Linked DNA regions of Macaca mulatta. The protein of the gene in region 1 interacts with the protein of each later gene in a pairwise test. Links are inferred from orthologs where the notes say so. Each region holds a gene or a part of one and is shown on either strand. Other genes may lie near its edges.

Region 1 (4,222 bases):
GTACCTTATACTCAATAAGACCTTTGTCCTTTTTTTTTTTTTTAATGAAAAAATGAAACATAACTTGCTGGAAAATACTTGTTTGTTTTCACTAAACTTGACATATTAAAGTACTAATACTGGAAATAACGTTAATTATGCTATACACGGTTCTTTTTAGCCAAAAATAATATGGATGAAAATATGGATGAGTCAGATAAAAGAAAATGTTCACGAAGTCCCAAAAAAATAAAAACAGAGCCTGATTCTGAAAAAGATGAGGTAAAAGATTCAGATGCTGCAAAAGGAGCAGACCAAAGTGAAATGGATATCTCAAAGATTACTGAGAAGAAGGACCAAGGTAAGGAGAGTCAGCTGTGGAGGGCAGCCTGGGGGTGATAAGAATGCAGTGGATCGGGGTCCCACCACAGGAAAGGTACTGCGTTGTGTTTTCTTGATAATAGCTTTATTAAAATGTAATTCATATCCCATACAATTCACCCAATTAAAGTGTAAATTCAGTGGTTTTTAGTATAGTCACAAAGTTCAACCATTATCACGTCAATCTTAGAACATTTTCATAACCTTGAAAAGAAGCCTCATTCATACCCATTAGCAGTTACTTACCAATCCTTCCCCAAAGTGCCACCAGCTTAGCGGTCTTCTTTCTGTCTCTCTGGATTTGCCTATTTTGGACAGTCCATAGAAATGGAATCAGGCAATATGTGGTCCTTTGTGGCTGGCTTCATCCACTTAGCATGTTTTTAAGGTTCATCCATGTTGTAGCATGTATCAGTATTTTCTTTCTATTTCTGAATAATACTCTGTATGGATATGCCACATTTTGTTATCCATTCATCAGTTGATGGACATTGGGCCGTTTCCTCTTTTGGCTATTATGAATAATGCTGCTATGAACATTCATGCAGAAGTTTTTTGTGGCCAAGCGTTTTCACTTCTCTTGGAGATATACCTAGAAATGGAATTACTGGATCATATGGTAACTCTGTTTAACCTTTTGAGGAACTACATTGTCTTTTGTAACAAGTCATTTTTTAAAAAACTAAATAAGCTAAATAATGCATGTGGCTAGAGATACGTTATAACTGTAAAAGTCTATACAAAATATTACATGAAGGTACTAGCGTGTGCAGTAGCCTGCCACATACTAAGTACTTTTTCATTATGGCATTCCATCGTTTTTAGATACTAAGGATCAGAATATTTAATTATTTTGGGGATGTATGTCTCATAAAGTTCAACACTATCTATTGACCAGGAACTTTGAAATATATGTTTAAACTCTAGAGAGAAAATGAGAAAAATAGATACTTTAATATTTTTGGCTAGGCACAGTGGCTCATGCCTGTAATCTCAGCACTTTGGGAGGCTGAGTTGGGCGGATCACCTGAGGTCAGGAGTTCAAGACCAGCCTGGCCAACATCGTGAAACCATGTCTCTACTGAAAATTCAAAAACTAGCCAGGCATGGTGTCACATGCCTGTAATCCCGGCTACTCGGGAAGCTGAGGCATGAGAATTGCTTGAACCCAGGAGGCGGAGGTTGCAGTGAACTGTGATCACGCCGCTGCACTCCAGCCTGGGCAACAGAGTGAGACTCCATCTCAAAAAAAAAAAAAAAAGTATAAATTCCTCCTTTCAGAGTAAAAGTTACATTTCTATAAATGTCTTTGTTTCACAGATGTGAAGGAGCTTTTAGATTCTGACAGTGATAAACCCTGCAAGGAAGAACCAATGGAAATAGACGATGACATGAAAACAGAGTCACATGTAAATTGTCAGGAGAGTTCTCAAGTAGATGTGGTCAATGTTAGTGAGGGTTTTCATCTAAGGACTAGTTACAAAAAGAAAACAAAATCATCCAAACTAGATGGACTTCTTGAAAGGAGAATTAAACAGTTTACACTGGAAGAAAAACAGCGCCTCGAAAAAATCAAGTTGGAGGGTGGAATTAAGGGTATAGGAAAGACTTCTACAAATTCTTCAAAAAATCTCTCTGAATCACCAGTAATAACAAAAGCAAAAGAAGGGTATCAGAGTGACTCGATGCGACAAGAACAGAGCCCGAATGCAAATAATGATCGACCTGAGGACTTGATTCCGGGATGTTCAGAAAGTGATTCCTCAGTTCTTGGAATGAGGGATCCTAGTCGTACCACCAACAAACTTTATCCAAAAGATCAAGTGTTAGATGATGTCTCCTTTCGGAGCCCAGAAACAAACTGTCAGAAAGAAAATTCCGTTGAAAATGACATAGAAGAAAATGCCTCTGACCCTGCCAGGAAAGGCCAGGAACCCAGTAAGAGTAGAACAAAAGGAAATGGTATTTTCATTGATGACTCTAAACTAGCCAATGCAGGTGATATTGGTTCTTTGATCTATAGGAACGAAAAACTGCTCATACAGGAGGAAAACGACACCATCGTTTCTTCTTCCAAGAGTGCTTTACATTCATCAGTGCCTAAAAGTACCAATGACAGAGATGCCACACCTCTGTCAAAAGCAATGGACTTTGAAGGAAAACTGGGATGTGACTCTGAATCTAATAGCACTTTGGAAAATAGTTCTGATACTGTGTCTATTCACGATAGCAGTGAAGAAGATATGATTGTTCAGAATAGCAATGAAAGTATTTCTGAACAGTTCAGAACTCAAGAACAAGGTATTGAAGGCTTGGAGCCATTAAAATGTGAATTGGTTTCTGAGAAGTCCACTGGAAACTGTGAGGACAGACTGCTGGGTAAGGTAACTGAAGCAAATGGTAAAAAAACAAGTCAGCAGAAGAAATTAGAGGAGAGATCAGTTAATAAATGTAGTGATCAAATAAAGCTAAAAAATACTACTGACAAAAAGAATAATGAAAATCGAGAGTCTGAAAAGAAAGGACAGAGAACAAGTACATTTCAAATAAATGGAAAAGATAATAAACCTAAGATATATTTGAAAGGTGAATGCTTGAAAGAAATTTCTGAGAGTAAAGTAGTAAGTGGTAATGTTGAACCAAAGGTTAATAATATAAATAAAATAATCCCTGAGAATGATATTAAATCATTGACTGTTAAAGAATCTGCTGTAAGGCCGTTCATTAATGGTGATGTCATCATGGAAGATTTTAATGAAAGAAACAGCTCCGAAACAAAATCACATTTACTGAGTTCTTCAGATGCTGAAGGTAACTACCGAGATAGCCTTGAGACCCTGCCATCAACCAAAGAGTCTGACGGTACACAGACGACCACACCTTCACCATCTTGTCCAGAAAGCAATTCAGTTAATCAGGTAGAAGATATGGAAATAGAAACCTCAGAAGTTAAGAAAGGTAGTTCATCACCTGTTACTTCTGGAGAGGAATCTAATCTCAGTAATGACTTTATTGATGAAAATGGTCTGCCTGTCAACAAAAATGAAAATGTCAATGGAGAATCTAAAAGAAAAACCGTCATCACAGAAGTCACTACGATGACTTCCACTGTGGCCACAGAATCAAAAACTGTGATCAAGGTAGAAAAAGGCGATAAGCAAACTGTGGTTTCTTCCACAGAAAATTGTGCGAAATCCACTGTCACAACCACCACTACAACGGTGACCAAGCTTTCCACACCTTCCACGGGCAGCAGTGTGGACATCATCTCTGTAAAGGAGCAGAGCAAAACTGTGGTCACCACGACAGTGACAGACTCCTTGACCACCACAGGAGGCACGCTGGTTACATCTATGACTGTGAGCAAAGAGTATTCCACACGAGACAAAGTGAAACTGATGAAATTTTCAAGACCAAAGAAGACTCGCTCAGGTACAGCTCTGCCATCCTATAGAAAATTTGTTACCAAGAGCAGCAAGAAGAGCATTTTTGTTTTGCCTAACGATGACTTAAAAAAGTTGGCCAGAAAAGGAGGAATCCGAGAGGTCCCTTATTTTAATTACAATGCAAAACCTGCTTTGGATATATGGCCATATCCTTCTCCTAGACCAACCTTTGGCATCACTTGGAGGTATGTACTTTAAAATGTATTTGGGGAGGGAGAAAATTTTTGAAAGAATTATCTCACAAGAATATCTCATTTTTTAAAAATGAGATAATAGAGATAAGACAGGAAACATATTAATGGCTAAAGATAGTCATGGAAACAGGATACAGAAAGCTTCAAAATTGGCCAACTGGTATGTACTAAAGTTTTTGTAGGGAAAAATGTTTAAAGACTTAAAATTTAAGAGAATGTTTT
Region 2 (4,986 bases), on another chromosome or scaffold:
AGACCCCAGAGACGGGGCTGATCTCCTAGGCGGGGGATGTCCTCCTCAGATGGCCCTGTCCTCCTCCCACGGCATCCTTGGTAGCCTGGGGTTAACTGCTCTGCTGGGGCTGGTGGGCACAGCAGCCCCTCCCTGAGCCTGGGGCGTGGCTTGCGTGGTGCCCGCTTCTCAGCCTTGGTACCTACAGAGCTCACTCTCCATGGCCGGGAGACCTCTCCCAGGATGACAGGACACTGACTCCTAGCCAATGGCAGGGTTGACCCTCAGCAGAGACGGCTGTGTCCCCCTCCCTCCAGTGCCCCGCGGTCTCAACCCAGTTAACCGGTGAGTCTGACTGAAGGCAGCTTTCTCTGCTACCCGCGCAGGGTGCGTGCTGGTAAATCCCAGCCCGTGTACTACTCCACCTGCCCCAGGAGCTGGAGACAAGACCTTGTGGCTGCGCGGCGGAAACCTTGCCTTGTGACCCTTGGAACTGGCTTTCTTGACTACTCCCTTCCCCAGAGCAGCCAAGTTCCACTCCCGCTCTCCCCACGTATGCCCAGGAGGTTCAACCTCTCTGGCAGATCTCTCCTCCAGCCAGGACTTAAGAGTCTAACAACATTCATTCAGGTGTCCCCCGCTGCTCCCTTGACCTCTTGGAGGACTCTAGACGCCACGAGCTCTTGGCTACAGCACCCTTAGCCCGTATCCGTGGCAGGGCGTCTGGCTAGGCGCCCACCCTCTGCCCCTGGCCCTCCCGGCAGTCCTCGGCATGTACCTTTGTTGCAGAGCTCACAGACATGGTGAGGGCCCTGGCTGTGCACCTTCATGTGGTCCGAAATATAAGCCGAGCTCAGCATCTTGCCACACACGTGACATGGCACCTTCTCCTCGTGTCGAACTGTGTGCGCCCGCAGCCGATCCTTCGTGGCGAAAGCTGCCTCACATTTCTGGGGAGGGGGGAGGGGCGTGGGGGGTGTCACAGGAGAGTTAAAGCTTGGCGGGCTGGGGAGGGGGGAGCAAGAGGTTAAAGGTATCAGAGCCTTGGGGATCTTTGATCTGTAGGAAATGGGAGTGACATGATGAGGCCTTGAAAAAGGGATGAGAAAATGGAGTGAAAAGGCAAAAAGAAGAGAGAGAAAAAGGGGGTCTGAGAGGCTGAACTCAGACAACTACCATGAGGATCAAAATCATGAAAACCAGGACGGGAGGAGGCGGGCTTCCTACCTCACATTTGAAGGGCCGTTCTGTTGAGTGCACTTGTCTGACGTGACTGTTGAGGTGATCCGGCCTGGGGACACGTTGGGGTTGGGGTTAGGGCGCAGGTGGTGCGCCCCAAATCCGCCAACCTGCACCACAGGCCTTTCCGGGGATCCCTGCGCCTCCTCCCGGAGGCCGGGCCGTCACAGCGCCACTTCGGCAGGAAATCCCTCCCCTGGAACCCAGCCGCTGCCGCCGCCGCCTCCTCCCACGCTTAGCTTCCGTCAACCCCAAGGCCCACCTCCTTGACAAAGGACCACCCCTTGCTCCCTGGTAACCGGGAGAGGCTTCCTCCCTCCGCCCTGGGAGGGGCTCCCCTTCCCCAACCTCAGCAGCCGCCTCCCTCCCCGCCAGCAACGGCCAGGCCACCTCCGTCGCGTCCCTCCCTCCCCACGGCCTAGCGGGCGGCCGAGGCCCCGTGCACACCGGGAGAAGCTCTTGCCACAGTGGGAGCAGTTGTAGGGCTTGTGCACAGCGCCGTCATGTGAGCGCACGTGGTAGCTCATGCGGTCCTTGCGCTTGAAGCGCTGCTGGCACACCGGGCACTGGTAGGGCTTCTCGTCCGAGTGCGACAGCTTGTGTCGGTTCAGGTGGTAGACGTCGCGGAAGGCCTTGCCGCACATCTCGCAGGCGTGGTTCTTCCGGATGCGCTTCCCCGAGGCGGTCGTGGTCACCACGCCACCGGCGGCCACTGCGGCAGCGCCGCCGCCGGCACCCGCCTCTCCCCCTCCCCCGCCAGCTCCGCTCAGCTGGGGCACGCTCAGGAGGCTCAGGGGCACCATGGTGGGCATCTTCATAGCACCCGAGGGGACCCGGCCGGCCTTGGCTCCCGTGTGGATGGCTTCGTGCCTCCGGAGATTGTAGCCGTTCTTAAACTCCTTGGCGCACAGAGCGCAGACGTAGGGCCCCTTGCTCTTTGTCTTCTTCTCCAAGGCAGACGCAACCGGGGCCACTGCGACCGTCGAGGTTGGGGCTACGACAGCGGTGGCCGCCGCCGCGGCGATGGTGGCGGCGGAGGCGGGGGGCGCGGCCTCGGCCGTGGGCGCCGACACGGGCGGGGGTGGCGGAGGGGGCGCCGGGGGCTGCTTCAGGGCTGCTGTGTCCACCGTGGAGGCAGCGGCAGGGGCCGGGGGCGCGGCAGCGACGGCGGCAGCAGCGGCGGCGGCGGCCGCAGCAGCCGCGGCGGACTCCTGGGCGGCGGCAAGCACCGGGAGCAAGTCCACCTGGAGGGGCTCGGCCGCCGGGGCCTGGGGCGTGGGCGGGGGCGCCGGCGCGGCCTACGGAAACAAGGCGCCGAGTGGGCCGCGAGTGCGGGCGGGCGCCCCCCCAGCCCGGGCCGCCGCGGCCGGCCCTACTCACCTGGAATGGACTCTGGGCGCAGCCCTGGGAGGCAAAGAAGCGGGACTGGAGCTCAGCCCCGACCTGCAGGGGGTTCTGGGCGTGACCCTGAGGTGGCGGGAAGGAGTTCATGAGGCCGCCCACCCCCCGGGAGTCCAGGCCCAGCACGGGGAAGGGGGGGGCCAGCAGCGTGCAAGGGAACACCGGGAACATGGCCTCGGCCGCAGCGGGGCCCCCGGGGCTCAGCGGGGGCCGGGGGCGCGGGCCGCGCGGGGCCCGGGCTCGGGGCGCCGCCCCCGGCCGGCCGGGCTGGGCCGCGCCGAACGCATGGCCCGCGGGCCGCCCCGCCGCCCGCGCACCCCGGCCGGCGGGAGGGAGGGAGGGAAGGAGGGCGCCTTGCGGGCCGCGGAGCGCCGCGGCGACGGCGGCGGCGACGCCCCCTGGGTGGGGGCGGGAGGCCCCGCGGGGCCGGGGCCGGGGGCGGGGGCCCGGGCGGCGGCGGCGGCGGCGGCGGCGGCGGCGGCGGTTAGAGCCTGGCGGGGCGGGGTGGGGGGAGCGAGGGAGCAGCCTCGGCCCCCGCCGCGCGCGCGCCCAGCCGGCGCCTCGGGGAGGGCGGGGGAGGGCGCGAGGGAGGGAGGGGGACAGCTGCGCGCGCACCGGGCGCGCGGAGGGGGGGTGGGACGGGAGGGAGGGCGGGCAGGAGGGGGTGTGGGCAGGGGGGTGGGGGCGGGGGGAGGGGGTTGTTACCTGGAAGATGAAGCTGCTCCAGTTGCTGGGATCCATGGCGGAGGGAGGGAGGGAGGTGGCTCGCGCTCACCCTGGGGCGGGAGGAGGAGGAGGCGGCGGTGGGGGAGGGGGAACCCGGGGAGGAGGCGCGCGGGGCGGGCAGGAGGGGGGAGGTGGAGGGTGGGGGGAGCGGAGCACACTGCGCGCGGGGAGGGCGGGCGGGGGGCGCGAGGACACACAAGAGGCTGGAGCGGGCGCGAGCGCGAGCGCGCGCGTGGCCAGCGGGAGGGGCGGGCGCGAGAGGGACTCTGGCGGGAGGAGGGACGGGGGAGCCACCCAGCAGCCCGAGTCGCCCCAAGCGCGAGACCCCTGAGACGGCTGCTGATTGGCTGACGATGGCGCAGGTGGTGGGCGCGCGGGAGACGGGGCGGCTTCTCTCCTCTTCCCCCCTCCAACGATTCCACCCCCCTCCCTCCGCCAGCGGCCGTTATTTCGCGCGCACGCGCACAAGGCCGCCGCCGTTGCCGAGCGGGAGAGTGGGGGAGCGCGCGCCGGGGGCACGGACGGGGCGGGGCTAATCCCTGAGCGCGCGCCCGCCTAACGGTCGCAGGCCTCATGCTTCGGCTTCCTCTTTTTGCGTCCTGCCGGCCACCGTCCTCCCCGCCCCACTCCAGCTGTTTATTTACAATCCAGCGCTGACTCGCTGCCCGAAGATGGCGCCCAGTGGAGTCTCCGGCCTCGCTCGCGGCCCACCCCGAGGCGGTCACACCCCGGTCCCGCCCCCACAGCCCCAAAAATCAGGCGGAAGCACCAGAGAAAAAACTGTATTTACACAACACGGGGTTATACAAGGATTTAAAAAGGCGGAGTGAAGAGACGACGGTCAGGAGGGGCCACAGCGCTGGCCGGCGGCGAGACCCAGGATGTTTGCCTGCAACACAGGAGGGAGGGGGGCAGCGACGTTAGAGAGGGACGCGGGGCGCAGGACACGCAGAGGAGGGGCAGGGCCGTGACCTCACCTTGAGGAAGGACTCCATCTGTTTCCCCGTTATGCCCTCCACGCGTTCCAGGTCCTCCACCTGGCGGGACAGGATGGATGGGGGACGGGGTCTCAGGGGTGCCTGGTCTCCCCAGCTCCCTGCCCTGTCCCTGTCCAGTGGGCTGGTACCTGGCTGAAGGGGCCGTGAAGCTCCCGCCATCCCACGATTAGCTGAGCCTTCTTCGGGCCAATACGCTGAAGACTGCGGAGATCCCGTGCTGAGCCTTCGTTCAGCAGATCCAATATTTTTTGGCGCCCATGAGCCAGTAGCTCCGGGCTGATCTGTAGCTCCCAGCAGTCCTCAGCCTTCTCCTCAGGCTCTGGGGCATCCAGGGACTCCACCTGGGAGACAAAGGGAGGTGAGTGACACGCAGGGCAGCCAAGTGCTTTGGGCTCTTCTGCCAAAACTAGGAGCCCAGCACCAGCGACCTCCTGCGCTGCAGCCTCTTCCTCTCCTCCTCAAGTTGTGTCCAAAATCCCGCCTTCAGGTCACTCTCTGGGTTAATTCTCATTATGCAACTAGTGAAACTGAGATACTATTTAGTACTCAGTGGTAATATTAGCACCTTTCTCATGGAGTTGCTGTGGAGATCAAGTGAGTTAATGAAAAGCACAAAATAAGCTCTTAAATCTGGTCCCTCATC

The links. The genes of interacting proteins can lie anywhere in the genome.
Region 2: the proteins of BPTF (region 1) and MAZ interact in a two-hybrid assay, tested with the Homo sapiens proteins (2 studies listed by BioGRID). The link is inferred for Macaca mulatta from reciprocal best matches to the Homo sapiens genes BPTF and MAZ.

Annotation. Positions count from the first base shown.
Region 1 is NC_133421.1:77,673,292-77,677,513, forward strand, and holds part of BPTF (nucleosome-remodeling factor subunit BPTF), read left to right. Parts: intron 1-160; coding exon 161-340; intron 341-1,680; coding exon 1,681-3,991; intron 3,992-4,222. UniProt on the Homo sapiens protein: Regulatory subunit of the ATP-dependent NURF-1 and NURF-5 ISWI chromatin remodeling complexes, which form ordered nucleosome arrays on chromatin and facilitate access to DNA during DNA-templated processes such as DNA replication, transcription, and repair.
Region 2 is NC_133425.1:28,760,847-28,765,832, forward strand, and holds the start of MAZ (myc-associated zinc finger protein), read right to left. Parts: upstream 3,183-4,986; 5' UTR 2,791-3,182; coding exon 2,599-2,790; intron 2,517-2,598; coding exon 1,567-2,516; intron 1,271-1,566; coding exon 1,207-1,270; intron 1,069-1,206; coding exon of another isoform or gene 970-1,068; exon of another isoform or gene 930-969; coding exon 758-929; exon of another isoform or gene 366-757; intron 1-365. Other genes in the region: kinesin-like protein KIF22, read right to left, coding at 4,187-4,234, 4,323-4,382, 4,472-4,684. UniProt on the Homo sapiens protein: Transcriptional regulator, potentially with dual roles in transcription initiation and termination.